Linked DNA regions of Oryzias latipes. The protein of the gene in region 2 interacts with the protein of the main gene of each other region in a biochemical or structural test. Links are inferred from orthologs where the notes say so. Each region holds a gene or a part of one and is shown on either strand. Other genes may lie near its edges.

Evidence for each region.
Region 1: the proteins of lcp2 (region 2) and itk form a complex in vitro, tested with the Homo sapiens proteins (2 studies listed by BioGRID, with this or other methods). The link is inferred for Oryzias latipes from reciprocal best matches to the Homo sapiens genes LCP2 and ITK.
Region 3: of the proteins of lcp2 (region 2) and tyrosine-protein kinase ZAP-70, one has a biochemical effect on the other in vitro, tested with the Homo sapiens proteins (2 studies listed by BioGRID). The link is inferred for Oryzias latipes from reciprocal best matches to the Homo sapiens genes LCP2 and ZAP70.
Region 4: the proteins of lcp2 (region 2) and ptpn6 form a complex in vitro, tested with the Homo sapiens proteins (2 studies listed by BioGRID). The link is inferred for Oryzias latipes from reciprocal best matches to the Homo sapiens genes LCP2 and PTPN6.
Region 5: the proteins of lcp2 (region 2) and grb2 form a complex in vitro, tested with the Homo sapiens proteins (4 studies listed by BioGRID and IntAct, with this or other methods). The link is inferred for Oryzias latipes from reciprocal best matches to the Homo sapiens genes LCP2 and GRB2.
Region 6: the proteins of lcp2 (region 2) and nck1 form a complex in vitro, tested with the Homo sapiens proteins (2 studies listed by BioGRID and IntAct, with this or other methods). The link is inferred for Oryzias latipes from reciprocal best matches to the Homo sapiens genes LCP2 and NCK1.

The regions. Positions count from the first base shown.
Region 1 is NC_019868.2:21,188,700-21,192,825, forward strand, and holds the start of itk (tyrosine-protein kinase ITK/TSK), read left to right. Parts: upstream 1-1,326; 5' UTR 1,327-1,393; coding exon 1,394-1,531; intron 1,532-1,612; coding exon 1,613-1,717; intron 1,718-1,826; coding exon 1,827-1,908; intron 1,909-1,993; coding exon 1,994-2,119; intron 2,120-2,372; coding exon 2,373-2,410; intron 2,411-2,697; coding exon 2,698-2,849; intron 2,850-2,971; coding exon 2,972-3,037; intron 3,038-3,118; coding exon 3,119-3,173; intron 3,174-3,616; coding exon 3,617-3,696; intron 3,697-3,901; coding exon 3,902-4,038; intron 4,039-4,126. UniProt on the Homo sapiens protein: Tyrosine kinase that plays an essential role in regulation of the adaptive immune response. Regulates the development, function and differentiation of conventional T-cells and nonconventional NKT-cells.
Region 2 is NC_019872.2:3,251,002-3,254,501, forward strand, and holds part of lcp2 (lymphocyte cytosolic protein 2), read right to left. Parts: intron 2,309-3,500; coding exon 2,243-2,308; intron 1,928-2,242; coding exon 1,902-1,927; intron 1,816-1,901; coding exon 1,760-1,815; intron 970-1,759; coding exon 795-969; intron 710-794; coding exon 615-709; intron 1-614. UniProt on the Homo sapiens protein: Adapter protein primarily involved in signaling pathways within T-cells, as well as other immune cells such as platelets, mast cells, and natural killer (NK) cells.
Region 3 is NC_019862.2:14,807,314-14,810,813, forward strand, and holds part of tyrosine-protein kinase ZAP-70, read right to left. Parts: exon of another isoform or gene 2,036-3,500; intron 1,951-2,035; exon of another isoform or gene 1,927-1,950; coding exon 1,481-1,926; intron 1-1,480. UniProt on the Homo sapiens protein: Tyrosine kinase that plays an essential role in regulation of the adaptive immune response. Regulates motility, adhesion and cytokine expression of mature T-cells, as well as thymocyte development.
Region 4 is NC_019874.2:20,377,659-20,381,609, forward strand, and holds the start of ptpn6 (tyrosine-protein phosphatase non-receptor type 6), read right to left. Parts: upstream 2,801-3,951; 5' UTR 2,283-2,800; intron 1,971-2,282; 5' UTR 1,907-1,970; coding exon 1,899-1,906; intron 950-1,898; coding exon 827-949; intron 1-826. UniProt on the Homo sapiens protein: Tyrosine phosphatase enzyme that plays important roles in controlling immune signaling pathways and fundamental physiological processes such as hematopoiesis.
Region 5 is NC_019866.2:20,735,366-20,738,306, reverse strand, and holds part of grb2 (growth factor receptor-bound protein 2), read left to right. Parts: intron 1-330; coding exon 331-453; intron 454-798; coding exon 799-967; intron 968-2,941. UniProt on the Homo sapiens protein: Non-enzymatic adapter protein that plays a pivotal role in precisely regulated signaling cascades from cell surface receptors to cellular responses, including signaling transduction and gene expression.
Region 6 is NC_019878.2:18,398,983-18,403,277, reverse strand, and holds the start of nck1 (cytoplasmic protein NCK1), read right to left. Parts: upstream 2,801-4,295; 5' UTR 2,575-2,800; intron 1-2,574. UniProt on the Homo sapiens protein: Adapter protein which associates with tyrosine-phosphorylated growth factor receptors, such as KDR and PDGFRB, or their cellular substrates. Maintains low levels of EIF2S1 phosphorylation by promoting its dephosphorylation by PP1.

The DNA.
Region 1 (4,126 bases), on a different chromosome or scaffold from region 2:
GACAGTGACCCGGAAACAAACTCGACGTTGATTGGTTGCGTCGACAAGCCTTTAAAGTATTTCATTATTAACCTTATAATTAGTGGGTTTTATTCAAAACTAATCTCTTTCCTGTATTAATTGTTTTAAACTTTTTGTTAGTTTTTGTTTGTTTAATATAGTGAGTTCAGGTTCTGATCCTGGTAGGCCTATAAATCTTAAAATATGTTCTTAAAATAAGCTGCTTAAGAAATCAAACCCAAGCAAAAAAAGTTCAGATCTGTAACCATAAAAAAGGGGGGGGAGGGGGACTCTAATTTTAAAAATGTATCTATCATTTGTTTTTACGCCCTAAATACAGTAGGGCAGGTGAAAGTGTCTAACTTTGAATTTTATGTTTCATTTTCTACTTAGTCAATTAGCAACACCTAATATTCATTCTTTTTCTTTTTTTTACACTTAAATAAAAATGGTCAAACTATTATAAGTAAGCTGACTTCATCTTGACCCTGACACTAAATAAGAATGACATGTAACATTTTATTTTATAAACGTTGTCATAGGCCTAGTGAATATTTAGCAGAGGGCAAAGGTTGTGCTTCGGAGTGTGCAAAACAAAACAAGAACATCGTATTTGAACCAAAATTGAAAAGAAAAATAAGAATCTTTCTAACCCCAAAGAAAACATAGCCTCATGAAAAGTACATCAAAGGTTCCATATTGTATTTGGATACATTTTTCTTAGAAACCAGACTTTTCTCTTTTGCTGTTTTCTGCATTTAGTGATTCATGAAACCTTGACATTCTTAGTGTTTGTAGGATATAACTTATCATGCATTTTACATTTTTAAAAATTGCATTTTTTTCATTTTTAAGTTTTCCTTCAGTAGTACTTTTTTACTACAATTTTGATACAAGCGGAGAGTTTCTTTTAAATGAAGAAAAAAGAAAATTTAAAAATTCCGAAAAAAAACCCCAGCTATGGCTTCTTAGGTATTGATTAACAGTGTTATTTTTGTTTTTAGCTTTTGATTTAATATGAAAATTTAAATTGTTTTCTAAAACATTTTTGTTTAACAACCAAGCAATTCTGACAAAAAGCTTACATTTTTATGCAAAATTTGATCAATAGTACATCAAAGGTTCATGTTAAAAAAAAAACCTTTATTGAGTTTAACACAACATACGTGATGATACGTGTGTGTATTTGTGTGCACATCAGTGTGTGATTGCTTGCACAGAGTGTTGCCACAAGGATGTGGTTTACTGCATGCAACTAACCCACGCCGGAAACTCTTCGGCATCTTCAATGTTTGCATTCTCCCTTTTTTTTCCCCCCTGCAGTCAGAGGCTTTCAGTTACTCCGTCCAATACCACCCAGTGTCTCCAGTGGTGTTATTCTCAACTGCTAACCATGTTTCCTCGGGTGATTTTGAAGGGAACCATGATCAAAAAATCTCAGCAAAAGAAGAGAACGTCACCGTGTAATTACAAAGAGAGATTTTTTGTTTTGGACACACAGGAGCTGAAGTATTCTGAGCGCCGTTCGGGGGTGAGTGCTTGTGTGCTTCATGGAATTGTCAAATTGAGCTTGACTGAACTGACAACTTTTGGAAATGGCACGATCTTGCAGAAGAAGCCCATGCTAAAAGGTTGCATTCAACTGTCCAGTATTAAGTGTGTGGAAATTGTGTGTAGTGACATCCCCATACCATGCCAATACAAGTACCCATTTCAGGTACCAGTCGCAGTTTTTTAACTTAAAAAATAATTTATTTCATTTTTAATTCAAAGGAATTTTGAAGATTTCTGTCTCATATTTTCTTTAAATCACAAATGCTTTGCAGGTTCTTCATGACAACTATTACCTCTACATTTTTGCTCCAGACAACGACTGTCGTATGAGATGGGTCAAAGCCCTCAAGGAGGGTAATTCAATCAGAACCTCTTTGTATCATTGTAATTTTAATATCTTGACCTGCATATAAAGAAATATGTTCATCTTTCTATGTAGAGACTAAATATAACAGTTTGGTTGCAAAATACCACACAAACTTCTGGATGGATGGAAAATGGAGATGCTGCCTACAAACTGACAAACTGGCAGCAGGTTGTCGTGTGTATGATCCAGTGGGTTGTGGTTTGTATTCATTTGTTATTGTTTCTTCTTTTAGTTACAATTAGATCTCACACGTTCCATTTCATATATTTATCATATATTTATTTCTTATTTGTTTACCTTTGTGAATATTCTCCCTAAAAAGGGATTGTGGCCTAAAAATCTGCATTTTAGATGCTAAAATCTTTATACTCTGCATAGGATTCTGTGTCAGTGCTTGTGATATGCAAGAAAAAGCCTTAACTACTAATTCCACTGTTTACTTAATCCACAGTCACTAAGAAGCCACTTCCCCAACTCCCAGATCCAGAGGTAGACCTCTTCAAATGTTAATGTTCTATTAATGCAGCCATTGAAAACTGACAAATCAGTTAATTTACAGCAATTTGTAGCAATTCATAGCAAAGTTACTTGACTTTTTTTTGCTTTGCCTTTTCTGTACATCTGGTAGATTTATTTGAATAGAACTGAGACAGCCGGTTTATTCATCAAATGTTACCCTAACTGTAAAAGTCCAGTCATGTCTTGTACATTGTTTTTGCCTTTTTGAATGAATTTTTAGTAGTGAATTGTTTCTTAGATATGGTTGATTTTTGCAGATGTCATTACAACCTTCAACACAGGGGATGGTCATAGCTTTGCAAGATTATGTGCCCATGGGAGACGACGATTTGCCCCTCCAGAAAGATCAGGAGTACCTGTTGATCAACAGCTCCCACTCTGAGTGGTGGGCTGTGCAGGACGACAAGGGGTAAGGCTTTAAAAAATAAATAAATAAATAAAAAAGCAGATTTGACCTTCTTTTAAAAAACCAATACATTGAAAATTAAATATTTCTAAAGAACATATTTGTGATTTTTTTTTTCTTAACAGTAAAACTGGTTTTGTGCCCAGTACGTACGTTGCGGAAAAATGTGGCAAAAACTTTGAGAGATTTCAGTGAGTTTTGTCAGATCTTATTTAATCTTACACATCTACAAGACACTGTTTAGATGTACTTGTTGATTTGTCGCTTTACAGATGGTACAACAAGCACATTAACAGAGCCGAGGCAGAAGACTTGTTAATGAAAAAGGTAGGAGCATAAACCACTTATTTATTTATTTATTTTAAACTTTGTCGTGCTTTATGGAAAATTACCTGGTTGGTAATCTCAAAAATCAAGTAAAAGAAAAAAAAAATTCCTCTGGCATGATAAGACGCACTTTACTTTTCAATAGTGCCGCCCACAGAAATCTTGCTTTTGCAAAAATAATGCACCTGCAAACTGACATTGTGGAGTGACATGGGACGTGAACATTTGTTCTCAAAACCGCGATGTTTCCTTCAAAACTGAATTTCCTGCTGACAGAATGTCTGCTGAACTTTGCAAACAGGTGGGAGAACTGCGCTCCCATCACCTCCTGCGACTCAGACACTTTCAAAGAGCTTGGCCAGCAACAAATCTTAAAAAAGTGAGAAAAGAGATGTGTGCAAGACAGTCAGCTGTGTTATGCAATATCTTCATTCTTACTACAGGGAAAAGAAGGTGCATTCATGGTGCGGGACTCAAGACAAGCAGGAGTCTACACGGTGTCCGTTTACACCAAAGCGCCCGGGTAACTGTCATTTTAACCACATACAACTCAAAGAGTCTACACAAAATGTGCTTTCTGACATTTTATTTTACATTAGTATGTTTGAACATGTTCTACATAAGTAAACATCCCCTTTTTCTGTCTTTTTTAAAAACATTAGTTTACATTTTGCTATTTTCTTATGATGTTTGTTGCTCTAAAATGTAAATACATATGTATTTTTTAGATCAAAAGGTGAAAAGAATCCCAGGGTGAAACATTATCAGATAAGGCAGGAGGAAGGAGGACAGTTCTACTTGGCTGAAAAGTATCTGTTCAACACCATTCCTGAGCTCATCCACTATCACCAACACAATGCTGCTGGTAAACATGCCTTCTGCACACATTTAGCATTAAGGAATTTGTTTTTCTTTGATATATATTTATATATATTTGCATGATAACTTATCTA
Region 2 (3,500 bases):
CCGTGGAAATAGCTCAAATCCATGCGGGATATGCTGCAATCTGTATCTTGACTGAACGTAAATATGTGGGAATAACATCCGCCTTAATTATGTCTGGACATGATTGGAAACATGAATTCACATGATTGTTCACACGGTTTCTCAGGACTGAGCAGCATTTCTCCAATCAAAGCTGCCTCCGTTAGCTCACACACATCCAAGAACCGCTCCACTGTTGTGGGGAGACGCGGTTCTCCTGAGTCCAGCAGCTCGCTAAAGCAGAGCAGCCGGATGGACTGAAGCCTCCTCCGGAGCACACAGTAACAAAGCACCTCCCCTGCCTGCAATCGGCATAACCCACCTATCTCCATCGGAAAGAAATTTTGATCCAAATGACTGATCAGGGCAGAGTATTCAGAACGGCGTGTTTACATGACGCATTTTTATTCTGATCAGGCGTTCATTATGATTACTTTTGTCCATGTAAACGCAGCTAGTGGTTTGCTGGCTGCAACGCTCCTCTGTATCGCTGAGTTATCAGTTCTTAATGAGAAATGGTTGAAGACAGGTTTTACTGACAGCTCGGTAGAAGCTTTCTGCTCGGGTGCAGATCTTTTGGCTCCCTGCGTACTCACATCTCGGGATGAATGCCCTGGCAGAGTGGAAGCCAGGGGGCGGGGACTCAAAGCTGGAGGTGCGCTCATGTTAGACGTGTGGTTATCTCTTTTATCTGTGGAGGTATAAACATGGCTTTTGGTTACCTACTCAGGTAGTGGTATGCAGGCCTGAAGTCAACCATGTGCTTCATTGAGTACCAATATAATCCCCCTCCCCTATGGGGGACGTTGGGTAAAACTTGGTAACCCCATCATCCGATGGTGCTGAAGGCGGGGGCTCGTATTCGTTAGATGGGTCTTCGCTCGGGGACTCGTAGTTGTCACTTTCTTCCTTTTCATCACTGTACGGACTCTCATAGTCGTCGTCGTCTTCCTGTTGGCAAAAGAGGGTTTATAGATGTGATAGAAAGAAAAGAACAGAGGAAATGCTGTCAAACTGCATGAGAAACCTAAAATAAATAAATAAAAAGAAAAAAAAATGCATGCAACAAAACAAAAGAGTCAATAAAAATAGTAAAAATAATATTAAAAAAACCTAGTCAATCATTAAATGTAAAAATGTTTTAAAATAACATATAAATGACATTTACCAAACAAAAACAAGCATAACTCTTCCACAGTCTCTTTGAAGGAATAGAGTGGTCTACTTTGGGGAAAGATTCACTCAAGTCCAACAAATCCAGGACTGAAGACTTTCAATGTCTGACTTGGACCTGAAATGAGTAACCCTGACCTGGTTTTGTTTCATGCAGACCTGCATTTTAGAGTCAGACATCAGTTTTACCAAAACGGTTACTCAGCCTAATATGATCTTATCTGTTTTGCATTGTGTATCTCTGTGTTTTTCCAAAAATTGAAATTCCATCCATCCTCTGTTCCTGTTCAGGGCTGGGAGAGTCCTACACATTAATACACCAGTGGTGCCACATGGAGGCAGGGAGGGTCAAGTGTCTTGCCCAAGGACACAACGGCAGCTGACTGGGGGGAGCAGTGATCAAACCGCCAATCCTTCAATCATTGGCCGACCTGCTCAACCACCTGAGCCGCTGCGGCCATATCATAAATAAATGGAGGTGATCTGTAAGGGTGTTGCTGTTTCACAAAGCTCCCAAATTTCCAAAAGCTCTTCAGAAGCTGAAGGTTATGAGGAAAAATCAACTTACAAATTCATTATCGCTCCACCCTTGGGCCTCAGAGCTGGTGTCTGTAGAGCAGAAACCTGATCACAGGTAAAAAACAAAAAAATACACATCAGCAAAATTCTCTTGGAGAAACTAAGGAATTCTCAGTATAGGAGAAACTCACCTGCGTCAGGAAACACGGGGGCTTGTCTGTGGAAGACAGACATGGATCAGAACTTCACAGCAACTCATGCTCAGACTGGGTTCAGTGCATTCAGAAGCTTGATAAAAATCATGTCAGAAATGTCTTCATGGCCTCTGCAGACACATGATGAATCCTAACAGCAGCCTCTGCGGTGTTCAGCCCAGACTGAGCTTCCACAGTCCTATGTGCAAGTCTGGCTTTGTGAAGACACAAATTCTATTCACACTGGAAGAATCAGCTACAAACACATGTCAATCTAAGATGACCACCACAACTGAGTCCCCAATGTTTAAGTCAGGTTAAGGGAAACAGGAACGTACTTTTTACCAAACAGGCTTCTCTTCCCCTCGTTCCTGCGGATTTCATTACTGAGCTTGGAGATCATCCTGCGGACACACAAAAAGCATGAATCACACAAACTGCAGCAGCTTCCTCATGACCCGGTGTAGCAGATTCAGTACAGAACCAGCCCAGAACTGAACTGTTCTGATCTTTTTTCATATAGAACTTTCGTTTGTTTCTATGATTACAAATTCTTTTCTAAGCTGAAAATTGCTGCTTCGCTGCAGGCAAACTGTGAGTTTCCATGACCCTGTAAGCTGTGATCAGTGGACTCAACGGTTTCCTTAAAAACTGTTGTGAAGATGTTTTTGGGTCAGCCACTCTCTGGCTGCCTTCCCTCTTTAGGCAGCTTTCTCTCTGAAGACTCTAATGTGTGCTCACGCAGCTCGTCAGGATTTTCAGACTGGGCCCAAGTGACATGAAGGACCCACATGAGTCAGATCTGTAGGGGAAGATAGCTGTCAAAAGAACGTGTATGCATACATACAAAACTGTACACAAAAAAATAAAAATGCAAGATTTTGTTTTATGTAGCTCGTGAAACCAAATTTCTCCTGTTACATTGATGTCCTCACTCCTAAATCTTCCACAGTTAACTGTCAGCTCTATAAGAACAACACGGAAGATTTTGGGAACAACAGCAACTCAACTACCAAGTGGTAGACCACGTAACCTGATGGAGAGGGGTGAGCGGATGCTGAAGCGCGTAGTGCAAAGAGGTCACCGACTTTCTGTACAGTCAATTTCTACAGAGCTCCAAACTTCATGTGACCTTCAGATTAGCCCGAGTTCAGCATGCAGAGAACTTCATGGAATGGTTTTCCATGGTCGAGCAGCTGCATCCAAGCCACACGTCACCAAGTGCAATGCAAAGCGTCGGGTGCAGAGGTGAAAAGCACGCCGCCACTGGACTCTAGAGCAGTGGAGACGCCTTCTCTGGAGAGACGAATCACACTTTTCCATCCAGCAATCTGATGGACGAGTCTGGGTTTGGAAGTGGCCAGTAGAACGGTACATTTGGGACTGTTTTGTGCCGAGTGTGAAATTTGGTGGAGGAAGAATTATGGCGTGGTAATTTAGGCTTGGCCCCTTAGTTCCAGTGAAAGGAACTCTGAATGCTTCATGATACCAAAACATTTTGGACAATTCCATGCTCCAACCTTGTGGGAACCGTTTGGAGTGGCCCCTTCCTCTTCCAACATGACTGTGGACCAGTGACTAAAGCAAGGTCCATAA
Region 3 (3,500 bases), on a different chromosome or scaffold from region 2:
TCTGCACGTTCACATCACAACTTGCAACCATCGGTAAGCTTTCAGAGTCAGCAAACCTACATTGGGCCTGCATTGCGGTAAAAGGTGGGATGTTTGGCAAAACAAGTTGAGCCTGCAAACAACTGGAACTTGTTTGACTGTTTAACTAGAGCCCATAAAAGGTGCCAGTCTGCTTCAGATTGGTCGCAGCAGGAGGGATGATGTTGAAACTAGACAGTGTGTAACACATTAAAGTGAATCAAAGCTAAGTGTCTTAAGCTACAGGGGAGGTACAATTTGTCCAAACTGACCCTTTCTTTGTTCCTATTTTCTTTAAAAAAATCTTGTATCCTTAAATTGCCTTAATTTTTGAGTGTGTTAGTGCAGGCACAACGCTTAAACATACTTTTAGAATGAACAGAAACAGTAGAGTTAGTTCTGTTTGACTTTCTTGACAGAAAAAGGGTGGTTTAAATTTTAAAAAGTGCTAGAATATTAAATTGATTGATTAAGATGGCAGGAGTTTGAAAAGCATGGCATCCGTTTCTTTTTGGAGACAATTTTAGCTGCAAGATGGTTGAAATCCACAAAATTTAAAACAGTATCACCCGGTTTTACAGTTTTAATTTTTACATCTTTACACGATGTCTAAAATGTTTCCTTTTTGTCTATCTATCTATCAATGCTAAAGTTCAATTTTGAAATTTTTGACAGTTTTTCCAGACTGAGATAAAGCATTTTATCCATTAATGAACTAAAAAAGAAAAAAAATAGATGATACAAACTGTTCTTTTATTAAATATTAAAAATTTTTTTTTCCATTTTTAATATTTTTTTGTCTCCCAAAGAATCCTAAGAGACAATTTCTTTTTTTTTTTGACTGATCTTGATAATGGCACTGAAGTATGTCCATGTGTGTGTAAAATGTTCCTGTTGCCTTTTCAACAACAGTGATGTTACTTTTCTGTTTTCTCAAGCCCTACCTAGAAATTGATCAAATAGTTTAAAGTTTTTCCACTTTGGGCCGGATTAATGTATAACCAGCCAGATGGAGTTAGTTCTGTTATATGTTGGATGGCCTCCTCCCATGTAGATGGACTCAGGAGTGATTGTAGTGGTTACTTAAGTGATGAGTTTTCCCAACAACATTTTTTACAGGAACAAAAGTCTGGATTATTACCGGTATGTTATACAAAGGTGTCTATATTTTGGTTTGGACATGAAATCTGACACTGGAAGTTTAAATGTCAGTCTAAATGTAATGAGGATAAACCATTGAAGAAAATACAGCTGTTTGTGGTTTTACTTGTCCTTCAATACTAACAAGTAATCCCAGTCCTTGCAGTTGACTTTAAAGAAGATGTCCTCTTTTTTATGCTGTGCATTCTCAAAAAATGTTTCTTAAAAGCAAACAAAAAGTCAAATGGGATGAAGAGCAGTAAACTTGAACCAGTTCTGAGAATATTGAAATGACAGTTTTTAGAGATAACCAGAATCTTACCTCCAGGTTCCAGGTCTGCCTGACGTATTCCCTCAACATGTTCACTCTTATTTTGTCAAACACCCCCATCTTGATTGGTGTATTCGGAGGGCGCAAGCAAGGTTTTCTCAGGATGCACACCAGACCGTCTGGATCTTTGCTGTAAAACTCACAGAGCTCTGCCGGTCCACAGTGAGGCTTCCCTCCTGCGATGCAGTAAGTCCCGTTCAGCTGCTTCTCTATGGAGTAGTGGTGAAACTCCAGGTTCCACACAACTGACAAGACGTAGCCTCCAAGATTACGGAGACAGTGTCGGAGCAAGAAGAGGCCATCGGCCATGCCACCCAGTTTCAGTTGCTGCTCTGCATCTGAGCGACTGATGCTTCCATAGAAGAAAGGCAGTTCGATTGCGGGGTCGACGGACATCCTGAAACCTGGAATGTCAGCTAGTCGGGGTTCTGGAAGCCCTGGATAAAGTTCAGATTGGGAAACTAGAGAGGCAGAAGAACATGCTTGTTCAGTGGAGGAGCCTTTAATGAATACACACAAAGGTAAATCCCGTCTGGGACCTCTGACCTTTTTAGTCACATCCTGTTCCACTCAGCTCAATCAAAAAACTTCCTCTCCTTCGCCCAATTATTCAAAAAACATGAAAAAACAGAAAAATGTAAAATTCTCACCTCTTTTGCTTATCCCAGTTGTGCTCAAATAGCATTGACAAAAAACTCAAAGCACCAATGTTTTTGTTCTTAAACTTTCAGCTCTGAAAAAATGAAATCTGAGGATGATGTTCTCTTGGAAAGGACCTTAAGCATGAAGCGCCCACTAGATAAGGTTGCATGAAGCTTGCAGATTGACAAAAGCCACAACAGGAAGTCACAATCCGCCCTCAAAGCCTTATTTCTCCAACACGCTGTTCTTCCGTTGAACAGGTGCTGCCGGGTTCTGGAGCATTTCACTTTAGAAAGTTTGTGACATTTTCCTTTATGAGGGGGGGTAGAGGCACAGCGTGCTAATTTATTTTCTAAAAAACTGTCACTTTTACTGTGTTGAAGCCTGTAGGTTCTGAAGCTTGTGACTTAAAGAAAGATCAGCATGAAATTGTGCAGTCTGGAACATGTATGCGATGACACATACAACCTCCAAACTTCAGTCAACTACATAGGATGTTGCACACGTCCTGTCTTTGCAGTATTTCTCTGTAGCTCACATCTTCCTATGCACGAAACTGGATATACCCACCCTCTTAAATCTGATTCTTTTTTATATTGGCTTCATAAAAAAGACTAAAAAGATGATGCAGAACCTCAGTTTCCTGACTTTATGCTCAGGATTCTGCCCACATCCACAGTGGACAACCAAGCAGAGGCGTTCTGCAGCCACAGGAAGCAAGAGCCCTCTGTAGCCTGACCCCCAGCTCACCACAACAAAGAGAGCCAGACACTGCAGTGTGGATGCATGGTTAGCTGTCTAAACTGAAACTGTTCTGCAAAAAAGCCAACAAGCCTCCTAAATCAATATTGTGAAAAGCTTTTTCAATATTTGATTAAGTTTTTTTTTTTTTTTACTGCTCTGTAGTTGGCTGACCAGGAACCAAATTCATGTCACCCTGTTGTGAAAATAAAATTAAGATCCTTGAAATTCTTGAAATTCAAGAAATAATGTCCTTCAGATAACTTTCTAGTTCCAAATTGCTTTACTTTTTTACATTGTAAACATAATAATAAATACATTTAAAAATGTAGGTTAGACTTTTTTCTTTTTTAAGTTTAGTTTTTTTACATTTTGGTTGTGAAATTTTACGACTTTTTTCCTAGATGGTGGCAAACAGTTTTTGACCAAAACCTCTGATTGGTCAAAAGTATTTACTCCTCTTAATATTGAACTATGAAGAATTGACAACATTTCTTAAGTGTTTCTGGATTATAAACAAAATGCAATAAATGAATTAAAAAAGATAAAGAAAAAACCTTAACAACATTTTACTTCTATTTTTTTAATTCTTTCATTACATTTGAGTAATGATATTGTTTAAATTTGG
Region 4 (3,951 bases), on a different chromosome or scaffold from region 2:
CCTGGCTACAGCTGCGAGCTTATCAAATATCGAAGTCAATCGATCCTATTAAAAGATTTTTGGCAGCATGTGTAACAACAAATTTATTTTCCATATTTTTAAGCTCAACTTGGGCGGCCAAAGGAGGAGAAATATTAGAAAAATGCGGCTTTAGCATCGGAATAAATAAAAAATCAGATTTAATAGACAATTTTACAAACAAAAATAACATTTTTGGTTCATCAAACTGTCGATCAAGCTTTCAGACTCTTTTTTTTTTTTTTTTTTTTTTTTTTTACATAAAAACATGTTTTTTCTGTTAGAATTATTGTTTTTTAATCCAAATGAAAGGATAAGAATTAACCAAAATGCATTTTTTTCTAAGAAAGTGGCCTTGGGAGTAAGTAGATCATTTAGAGCTGTGCACTTTTTCACACAAAATTGGAAAGTGCTAACTGTTTTCACAAAGTGGAGCTTGGAAAGGGATCTTTTGCTGTAAGAAGTTACAGATAAGACATCTAAAATGAGCAAATCTGACTAATTTTCTGCTGTTGTTCAAAGAAGATGCAACCACGTCTTTTGGAGTTCTGTAACAACCTTTTTTTTCAATCCGCAAAGTTTTATAAATTATAAGAATCGCTTCCATTGCTGCTACTTTTACTCACTTTAAGAAAAGGCCTCCAACAAAACTGGCATGTGTGCGTAGATCATTCGCATCAAAATATAGGCCCTGGCGGGAGCCTGCAGCTCTCAGCTTATTTTCTTATCATCAAATAAAGGCTGCAAAACTTGAAAGAAGTTTTGCAGATGCAGCTCATGTGCTGCATCTGTTCACACCAGACATTACCTGACAGACAGGGAGAAATCTCCAACGTTTTTCTTGCTGGGTCGAGCTAAAAAGCTTCCGTCAATGCCTCGCAGCTTCAGTATTTCCTCAGCCTGCAGGCCTGTGATGTCTCTGTGGAACCACCTGGATCGACGCACAAAGATAGAAAAGATGAAGCACAACAACATTGACCTAGTAGAAGGCATACATGTGTCACATAGATTTAAAATGTACAGCTTTAAATAGACCAAGAAAATCCAGGTGCACGCATACGCAAAAGAGAGATGGGAGTTTCTCGACAAGATCAGGGGTGCAAGAAAGTGTAAAGATGGAGAGAAAAGCTGTACTTTTTAATAAAAGAAGGGAAGAAATTCAGGTGATGATCTTTTAAACATTATTAGGTTTCATTACAATCTTGAGTAGATTCTTTGTAAAAATCCTCAAAATCAACATATTCATTTTTATATTTTTTGTTTTAGAGTCTCAAACATAAATAATACTAAGGCAGAGGGTGACTTTAACGTGATAAATTAAAGGTTTTATTAAAGCCTTTGGTTTCACTGGCCTAAGAAAGATAAAAGACAATTTCATGTGATGAACCACAGTCCAAATCCTTGATCCAATAAGGGTTTAACATAAACCTTCAGAAACTATTTTCACTTTACCTACATGCAATTTGTTGATCATCAGGAAAACAAAGCGTGCATTAGGGCATAGTCAGTAATGCTGACGTACTTTAATAAATTATGTTGCTTTACAGCCTTATTAGCTAGACGAATAACCAGGTTTTTAAAATCTGACATATTGCACAAAAAAGGTTAATAACTGTTTTCGAACACATGATCTGTCTGACACTGTGGAGCTTTGAGGAAACAACAGAACTGAAACCTAAACACTTTATTTATGTCCCAGTCTCTTATACTGAACTTGCAGGGTTTAGCTGACGAGGGATCACAAATGACATGACAGAAGAGGAGCAGGACAGGCCAGCAGCAGGGAATAGACAAAAGGAGGAATGGAAACAGAGAAGTTGTTGCACAAAACACAAAGAACAAAACCAGAGTTTGATGTGTCCGGCAGAGGCTTGACTCACCGAACCATGGCGTCTCCTCACTTTTTCTGGGACTAAAGAGAAGAAGAGCGATTTGGGAAGAGTCGCTTGTTCCTGCGGCACATGTGTAGACTCAGATCACACACTTTGGCGTTGAAAGTTTGTGTAGTTTTTGCAGCTTCCTTACTTTTGGTCTACTTGAATTGTACATTTACCGCAAACACATTTGGTATGTCAAGCGCTAACTTGACCTTCAACTTAAGATATTTTTATCAAGAATCAATTAAATCTAATTGCCTTTGCTCTCCCTCTGGTGTAACACATTAACTTAATACCCACCCCTGCCCCGCCACCACCCACCAGCGGACCGCCGCTGACCCCGGTTCTCAGTCTTCCCTTCAACAGCAAAAGCAGGTAAACACTTACTCTCCTCAGCTGCTCCTGAAAACAACTGACACTGGTCGAGACGTTGACGCTGTATGTGTCTGTCTCCCCTCCTCTGCGTCGTGCTCATACGCTCTCCCCTTCCTTCCTTTCTACGTCTCCTTTCACAAAGTAGTGAAAGCAAGACAGGAACCAAAATAGCTGACAGGCCGGAATTCCTCAAGCAGATAAAGATGGTGTCTTTTTTTTTTCTTTTTCTTTTATTGATGACCAAAATAAAAACGTTGCCAATCTAAGAGCAGAGAAGGCTTCAACTCCATCACCTCCGTCTTCTGGAAAAACAGCTGCAGAGCTTCTTTAGATGACTCCTCTGTTCAGAGCTGTGAGACAACGGCAATTCCAACAGGCGTATGGTTGAAAAACACCCTCCAAAAAGGCAGTTCCATCTCCTCATCAATGCACAAATATGCCCGCTCTTTGTCTAACAGAAAGTATTTGCAAAGTTTCCTCCACCTGTCGGCTGAATCTGCCCTCTGTTCTTTACTTCCAGGTGTGTACGAGTGTGCGAAACACAAAGGTCAGAACAGAACACTTCCTCATTTGAACCTTCCCCCCTCTGCATGTGTGAGGCTGCATGTGTGCGTGTGCTGCTGCAAGCTGATATATCATGTGCTGTTGTCAACTGTTTTAATTTAAAGAACGCCGATCCAGCACCTTGAAAATTGCTGCTTTATCCTTATACGGAGTAAATTATCTGCAGCCACAAACACAAAGTACATATTGTGACTTTTAGGGGAGTTTTTTGTATCCCTAAAAACAACACAAAAATTTGCGTAGAAGCAAATGCACAACAAATGAAAATGCAAATACAGTAGCAATTATTTCATGAATTCCTCACAACCAGATAGCATGTAAGTGGAAAATAATGGTTTCCTACATGAGGTGTAAAATCGTTCAGTGACTAGCGGACTTTGGTGGTTTTATGTGTTTGCAGCAAAAAATTAAAGGAAAAAGTGAATAAGTGTGTAGTTTCTAGTACATGGTGCAGCTCTCCCCGCCCCTGCACCAACAAACACACACATGCAGCCCTGCAGGTGTCGTCGGGGTTAACGCCCGCTATTGTTGTTTGCATTATTTGCCTCACTTGCGCTTTGCAGTCAGACTTGGTTTGGGGTCTCTTTGTTTCTCAGATGTTAAGGCTTCAAATCTCAGACAAAGGCAGACGTTTTTCACACACGTATAGAATGGCTGTACACCTACAGTGATGGAAAAAAGGTTCCTGATTTGATCTTTTCACTTGGGCTATCAGGTTTGCTTGCACTGCGCTGCAAACTGATACTTTGAGCATTTTCTGCCTCATAAAAAAGGTGAACAGAGAAACATCTATAGTTTGTTGATCTTATTAAATGAACCAATCAGTAGGAATAGAATTGATTGAGTGCATGTTTTTTCTTCAGGGAAAAACAACTCCTTTATTTTGATTTTAGATATTTAGTTACTTTAAGCCCTGCAACAAATTGGCTGCTTCTCCAGGGTTTATCCAACAGTAACAGGGATAGGCTCCAACAACCCTATGACCCTGAAAGGGATTCAGCAGGTTCAGAGAACTGATGGATGGATTGTAGCTTTGAAGTCGGTTTAATGGTTGTTGTTACTTTAAATGTTATTGTTGCTTTTGATGTTTAAAAGTCTGAATATCATATTTAAAATG
Region 5 (2,941 bases), on a different chromosome or scaffold from region 2:
GGTTTAACTTTCAACACGCATTCAGTGGCAGCGCGTTTTCTACATGGAGCCTGAAAAATGGTCGTAAAAGCTTTCATAGCTACGCGTAAATGTGTGAGTTTTGATTGCGGAAGGCCCAAACCCATATTTAGGAGCGTTTCCATAGACTTTTCATCTGAAGTGGATGCTTGAACCTGTGTCGCTTAAGGCGGTGTGAACGTAGCATCAGAGGTGTCTTCCATACGGTTTCTTCTGCACGTTTGCATCAACTTAGTGATCCCAAACCAAAATGGTTATTGATTTAAAGTCCCATGTGTAAACTAAGTTCTTGTTGTGTTTGCCGTCCTCCAGGTGGTTCTTCGGGAAGATTCCTCGCGCCAAAGCGGAGGAGATGCTGAACAAGCAGAGGCTCGATGGGGCCTTCCTCATCAGAGAGAGCGAGAGCGCACCGGGGGACTTCTCCCTGTCTGTCAAGTGAGCGGCCGCACTCTGACGCCACAATCCAGGAAAAAATTACTCGCATTAGTTTTTCCATTCATATTTTTCCCCTTCAACCTGGGCGTGACGTGCTTCCTCATTTCTGAACAAATTTATGTTCTCGGAGTTTGAGTCACTTGTGGTTTTTCCCTTATTTCCAGTTTTTAAAAATGTTTTTAGAAAACAAATTTCTGATAAAACTACAATTTTTCTGCTTTTGTTTTTTCATTTAGTAATAAAAATGTTTTTAGGAGCATTTTTTTTCTTTGCTTCCCTCCACTCTCTTTCATTTAGCTGCTTCTCCACCACACTGTTCAGAGTCTGAGTTTCTGTTCTCTGCAGGTTTGGAAATGACGTGCAGCACTTCAAGGTTCTCCGCGATGGAGCTGGAAAGTATTTCCTATGGGTGGTGAAGTTTAACTCTCTCAATGAGTTGGTCGATTACCACCGCACCACCTCAGTCTCCCGCAATCAGCAAATCTTTCTGCGAGACATAGAGCAGGTTCCCCAGGTAAGACATCCCACTAAACTGTTCTTTAAAAATGGGGCTTAAGGATTGGTTTCTGTGTTGATGGAGCACACTGACTGTCCATGTGCACCTTCTGTGCAAATACATGAAGACACAAATGTCCCAGCATATGGGTTTGCAGCCCGACCACATGTGAGCTCAGCGGAAGACCTGCCGTGGAGCGGATCTTTGGCGTGGAACCGTGGGTGTAAAAAAACCACTCTGAGGTCACCACATGCCGAGGTCACATGACTGCACCTAATGCTTCTGATTCGCATCAGAGCTTTCTTTCTTTTAGCTGATCCATTTTTATGATGCATCGTAAAATCTAAATGTCACAGGTTTTCTTTTTAAAGACTTTATGGACGTAAACTAGAGCAGAACCTTTTTTTTGTTGTTGTTGTGGTCGTTTTAACTTTGAAAAGTATTTCTTATTGCAGCTACGCTGTGCCATCGGCCACATTTCAGTGTCACAAACGGTTAAACTGACATTTGGAGTACAGGATTACACAGAAGCGCTTTAAAGATGAATGTGAGATCATTTCATTCCTGCATGTTCATATTAGTCACAAAGGTGTTTCATGGTTTTGTGGAGAGCAGCACTGAAAATACTAATAACAATCAAATCCTAAACGCATTCAAGACTATGTACCATCCAGACTTCATCGTGGTATGATCCAATACATGGAAAGCTGTTAAAAATGCGTACTTTTATTTATATAAAAACTTACATTTTGACAAATTACTGTATCTTTTTGGACTATGAGTCGCTCCAGACTTGACAGTCACAGGAGCAAGAAAGAAGAAAAAGATCACAAATGCGTCACACTTCACGCCAAGCCTGGTGTTGGACTGAGCGCCACTTCTTCTGTCACGCTGTCAGTAGGAAATGCTGATGCGCACATCTACAGCGCCCTCTCGTGGTTGTTGCTATTGATTTTTTTTTTTTATACATATCAGTCGCACCTCAGGACAAGTTGCAAACTCAGCCAAACATATATTTATGTGGTATGTGGAGTTTAATTCTGCAGAAACAAAAGAATATAGTAGTAAAAACCTCTCCTGCTCTGCTGCACTCTGTTCTTTTTAGTCACAGTTGTTAAAAATAGACATTCATGTGAATGTTCTGTGATGGATTCAAATCAATTCAGATGTTGTAAAAGCAGCTCTTCAATGCTTGTGCGCCTTCTTTCTTTTGCTAAAAGCTTTTTCTCGTGATTGGATTGAGATGGCTGCACTAAACAACACGTTTGGTCCAGTTCTGAGTGAATGCATCGACATTAATGCCGCCGTTTAACGGGAAACATTCAGGCGTGGAGCTGTGGAGGCTCCGGCGTCCGACCACGGCCTCTCAGTCCAATGCATTGGAGATCAACTGTAAATGCAACGGAGAAGACTGCGATGCTGTGACGAAGAATCAGACAAGACGTCTAAAGCAGCGGTCCCCCAAACCCAGGACCGGTATCAGGGTTAGGGTAGCAGACAGAACAAAAATACATACTCCAACTCCGATTATTTCTGTTTTGTCTATTTTCTGATACTAAAGGAAGTTTTATTTTGGAAAACTACCGAATTTTGTTCACCACATCCGTCTGTCTGGACGCGTCACATGACTTTAGGCAGCTGTTCAACGCTTAAAAGCTAATAAAACCAACAAATAAATGTATTTGGAAAGTTTCTTTGGGGAGAAAAGAGTCTGCAGGGAAACCAAAGAAGACTCTTCCAATTCATCGAAAAATTGAGACCTTATTTACAGACAAAACCAGAAGTCTTCCTCCAAATACAGATTCACAGTCGTTCCCGCGTACCAGAAGCCGCTCTGCATAAATCTGATAAAGATGCAGACACGGTGGATTCACGTTTATTACGTTTAGAAAATACTTATTTTTACGTTAAAGGACATTTACGAATTTTCCTACAGCATGGATGAATTACGCTGGCATGTGTTAAGAAACTCGGCACAGAAAATGTTCCTCT
Region 6 (4,295 bases), on a different chromosome or scaffold from region 2:
CATCTATCATCCATCTTTCTATCCATCTATCGATCTATTCGTCCATTCATCCATCATCCTTCTATTCATCAATCTATCTATCCATCCATCCATCCATACATCTATCTATTTATTTGTCCATTCATCCATCGATTGATCCATCCATCCATCGATCTATCCATCATCCATCTTTCTATCCATCTATCAACCTATTCATCCATCCATCCATCATCCTGCTATTCATCAATCTTTCAATCCTTCCATACATCTATCTATTAGTCAGTTCATCCATCGATTGATCCATCCATCCATCCATCTATCCATTGATCCATCCAACCATCTATCTATCCATCATTTATCTTTCTATCCATCTATCGATCTATTCGTCCGTTCATCCATCCATCCATCATCCTATCTATCCATCCATCCAATAGTCACCTTAGGGGTCAAATTGTATTGTTTTTAAATCACAAAATACACAGATTTCTTCCTTTTTACAACAAAATCAGTGATGTAGAGTTTTCAATTTGATAGTATGCTCCTAATCAGAATTGGAATAAAAGCGTAAAAATTAAATAATTATTTAAAAAAAACAATGCCTGCAAAGGTTTGTTTTTTTATCATAATGGAAACGTATTTTCTATAAAGACTAAAATATGACTAATTTCCCTTTTTTGTCATAACTGCAGCAGGGTTTGTCCATAACAATATGAAGTCACTGTTGCTCAAGTGCCCACATCCTCAATTTTACTCGTCCAAAGCCACTGAAAGAAAACCCCCAAACCATCATGAAGTATGACCGAAATAAAGCACAACTGAAAGTACTTATTTTAACAGGAAACCTTATAATTAACCTAAAATTAAAATCGATAGCAGACATTCAAACCGCACTCAGGTGCTAAACCTTTGCAGAAGTGAGAAAAAGCTACCACAAAGAAAGCCATTAATGGAAACTTCTCCTCAGAGTACATCCAAAACTAAACAATGCGGCATATCTTTTTTTTTTTTTTTTTGGATAAACTATCTAACAAAGAAATCTTCTCTAGATTGTGTCTATTTGCACAAGAAAGGGTTATGAAATGTCGAAACATGTTGACATGCAAGAGCAATCGACGCAAAAGGGTTTTTCAAAACTGAATCCAGAAAAAAAGAGGAAATGCATTGAAAAATGTTGCAATAACTCTATTTGGGAGGGAAAAAAGGAGAGAATATCGACATTTAAAACGCCCCACTTCTTTACATTTTTAGCAAAGAACTCATGAAGAGAGATCAGTAAAACGACTTATTTCACGAGGCAAACTGCAAGCCAGTGGAGTTTTCTGGCTCTCATAAAATGCCCATTTGATATTTTCCCCTTCGACTTGAGTTCGACTTGGTGGAGACAGGAAGTGCAGGCAGACGCAAGAAAAGAGATGACAAAAGGATATTCTATAAAATGAGATCATCATTCCATATCCAGAAGGTTTTAGTGTAATAACATATGTGTGCAATCGGTGGGGATGAGGGGGGAGATCCACAGAAGCAGGCCTTAGATGAAGACAAACTACCGTTACTGCAAAGCGTGCACGTCTACACTGAAAGCCGGCTTCAAGAGGAAACCTCAACAGTGACAGCTGACAGCTGCAACTTTTCCAAGCACCTCAACCTGTGGCTATTCCCGTTTATGGGTATAAAAATGCACATTTTAGCACGTTAAAACAGGCTGATAAGACATCACCCCCTCTTTAAAGTGTGCCTAACCTCCACATGACTTTTTAATCTGGACAGGATTCCAGAAGACAAAGTGTTTCTCTCAGAAACCTTCAGTGTTGACAACAACAAAAGAAGCCAGTGTTCAGCAGCTGCTGGTGTTTGGATATGTTACTCCCTTGCATCCCATGAACATCCCCATCCAAAGGACTTCAAATAAACAAAAGAGAAATCCAAAGAGCCATTTGGTTGGGGAAAATACTGGCACCATGAAGAAGCAACTCTAGGTGGATTTTGGGAGACAAAAAATGCTCTTTTTTCAAATAAAACATGTTTGTTATTTTTTTTTGTGTAAAATCATTTTTTTAAAAAACGCATTAATAATGATATTTTTGATACAAGCTGAGATGGAGAGGAACTTCAACCCTTAAGCTTGAACTTTATTTTAAGATGCTACAGTCAAAATAACACAAGTCATTAAATAATATTACAATATATGCAATAAAATGACACTATACAGTCACAAAACGCTTCATTTTTTTTACTAAATGCTTTCAAATGCGTCAGTCTTTTGCTAAACTTCAGTTTTTAGATTTAATGTCATAACTTTAGCTTGACAGCGTGTCAATACATCCAACGTGGCTTAAAAAAAAGAAAGAAAGAAAAAAATGTATACCGCAGAGGGATTACATGAAACCGTTACAGCTACTAAGGCTGATTAGTATTTTTGATCAGTTTGGTTAAGTCTTAACCTTTAGCCTGTGTGAGCTTTAATGTTGGTTTCAGTGAGATCAGGAGCTAGTTTATATTACTCAGGACAAACGTTTCAGCGGCAGCAGCGTGGATCTGCAGGCAGCGGGGCATAAATTCAACAAGCCAGATATTTATTCAAACCACGTCTCTTACCTGACTACTGATGGCCGCCTCCAATTCTCTCTTCTCTCTGGAAAGGATTTTTAGAAAAGGGTCTTAAGAAAAAATACTCGAGAAAAAAAGGATGCCCGCTAGCTAGGAGCAAGTCACCATAACCAATCCAAGAAGCTAGCCTAGCTGAGGAGACGCTTTGCTCGCTAGTGTGGCATTTCTGCATCAGACCGTATCACTGCTACTGCACGGCTAAGCTAGCTAGCTAGCCGCAGTCTCAGCCTCCCTTACTCCAACGGGATTGGCTGCTGGAGAATCCACTCCGTTCCTATTGGACAACTCACCTGTCAATCATTTACACTGCAGTTGAATGTTCTGCTTTGTTTTAGGAAACAGTTATTTCTACTCGGATAAAAAAGAAGAAATCAAAGAGAGAAAGCAAATTAAAATAAAGAAATTATATTTGATTTTTCAGATAACGGGTCAAATTAGACCAATCTGTACCTCAGAAAAGTTGTGTGTAGCCCCCACAACAATCACATTCCTGCATGTTTCAAGAAAAGTTAATCATTACATTTGATTTTACATGCACTGATATTCAACCAGCTACTGTTTGTTTGAAAACATATTGTTACATTTAGGCTGATATTAAGGCTATTATCCTAAATATTGAAAACATGAATTCCATTTTTAACCTTAGTCAGACATAGTTTTGTAAAAAATACATTTTAAATACAGATTACTTTCAAAAAGGGTCTAATACAACTGCTGAAAAACAATCCACTTTTTTTCCTGGAAAATTTGTTTTGTTTCGTATTAAAAGTGAAAGTTCATTTGACAAGCATTAAAGCAAATTGTTAGAATTTAGGATTCTGCAGTGTTTTAGACAATCATGTTGTTTTTCATGACCAACAAAATGCTCAGTCACTTGCAGAGTCAAGGCACAGACACACCCAAATAGATATTGGCACAATAACTCATCCTCCAACGCCTCTGAACTCAACGCCCTCCCCTCAAACAATGACATATTTAATAAACAGGTCTGTGGTGAAGAGAGTCGCAGAGTAATTTGGAGGGTTCTGCAGCTTGTTGCAGGATGCAATCTGTTTCCTGCTTAAGCAGATGGACCTCTACTACAAGTTCAGTCTACCCGCCGAAAGATCCCAACTCAAAGCAAGCCTGCAGCAACTGCAGCGCTTGTTATGGTTCAAACACACACAAATCCATGTTGTCAAGCTTTAAGCTTTATTTGAAACAATGAGCCTGCCAAAATAAAAAATAAAAAGGTCAAATAAATAAAAAAAAAAGATTATGGACACATTGGGTTCTCCACTTTAGAACGGAAAGACTAAACTAGATTTTGTTTTTAATTTGAATTTTGACACTAAAACCACTTTGTGGAGTTACAGATAATGGAAATTTGTTCTTTTTAAAACTAAGTCAGGTGACAATGTTTGTGCAAATTCCACAGATATTGTCCGGTTGTTGCTGACTTTAAGATAAAATGTCAAATGTTTTTTGTGATTTCTTTAAACCAGAGAGAAAAGGGAAGTCATCAGATGGTGTTAATTTATCTTTTTTTTCAACTAATTATCCCAATAATTGAATTTGTAGTTTACTTGCTTCTACTGCCCTTAGCAGTCAGATTACTGAAGTAGATCATGAATGCCACCTGCTGGGCTGTTAGTGAAGCATGCTTGTTTTATAGTGCCAGACGTTAATAAGACATGACCTCCTTTATAGCCTTTATAAATACCCAGAGG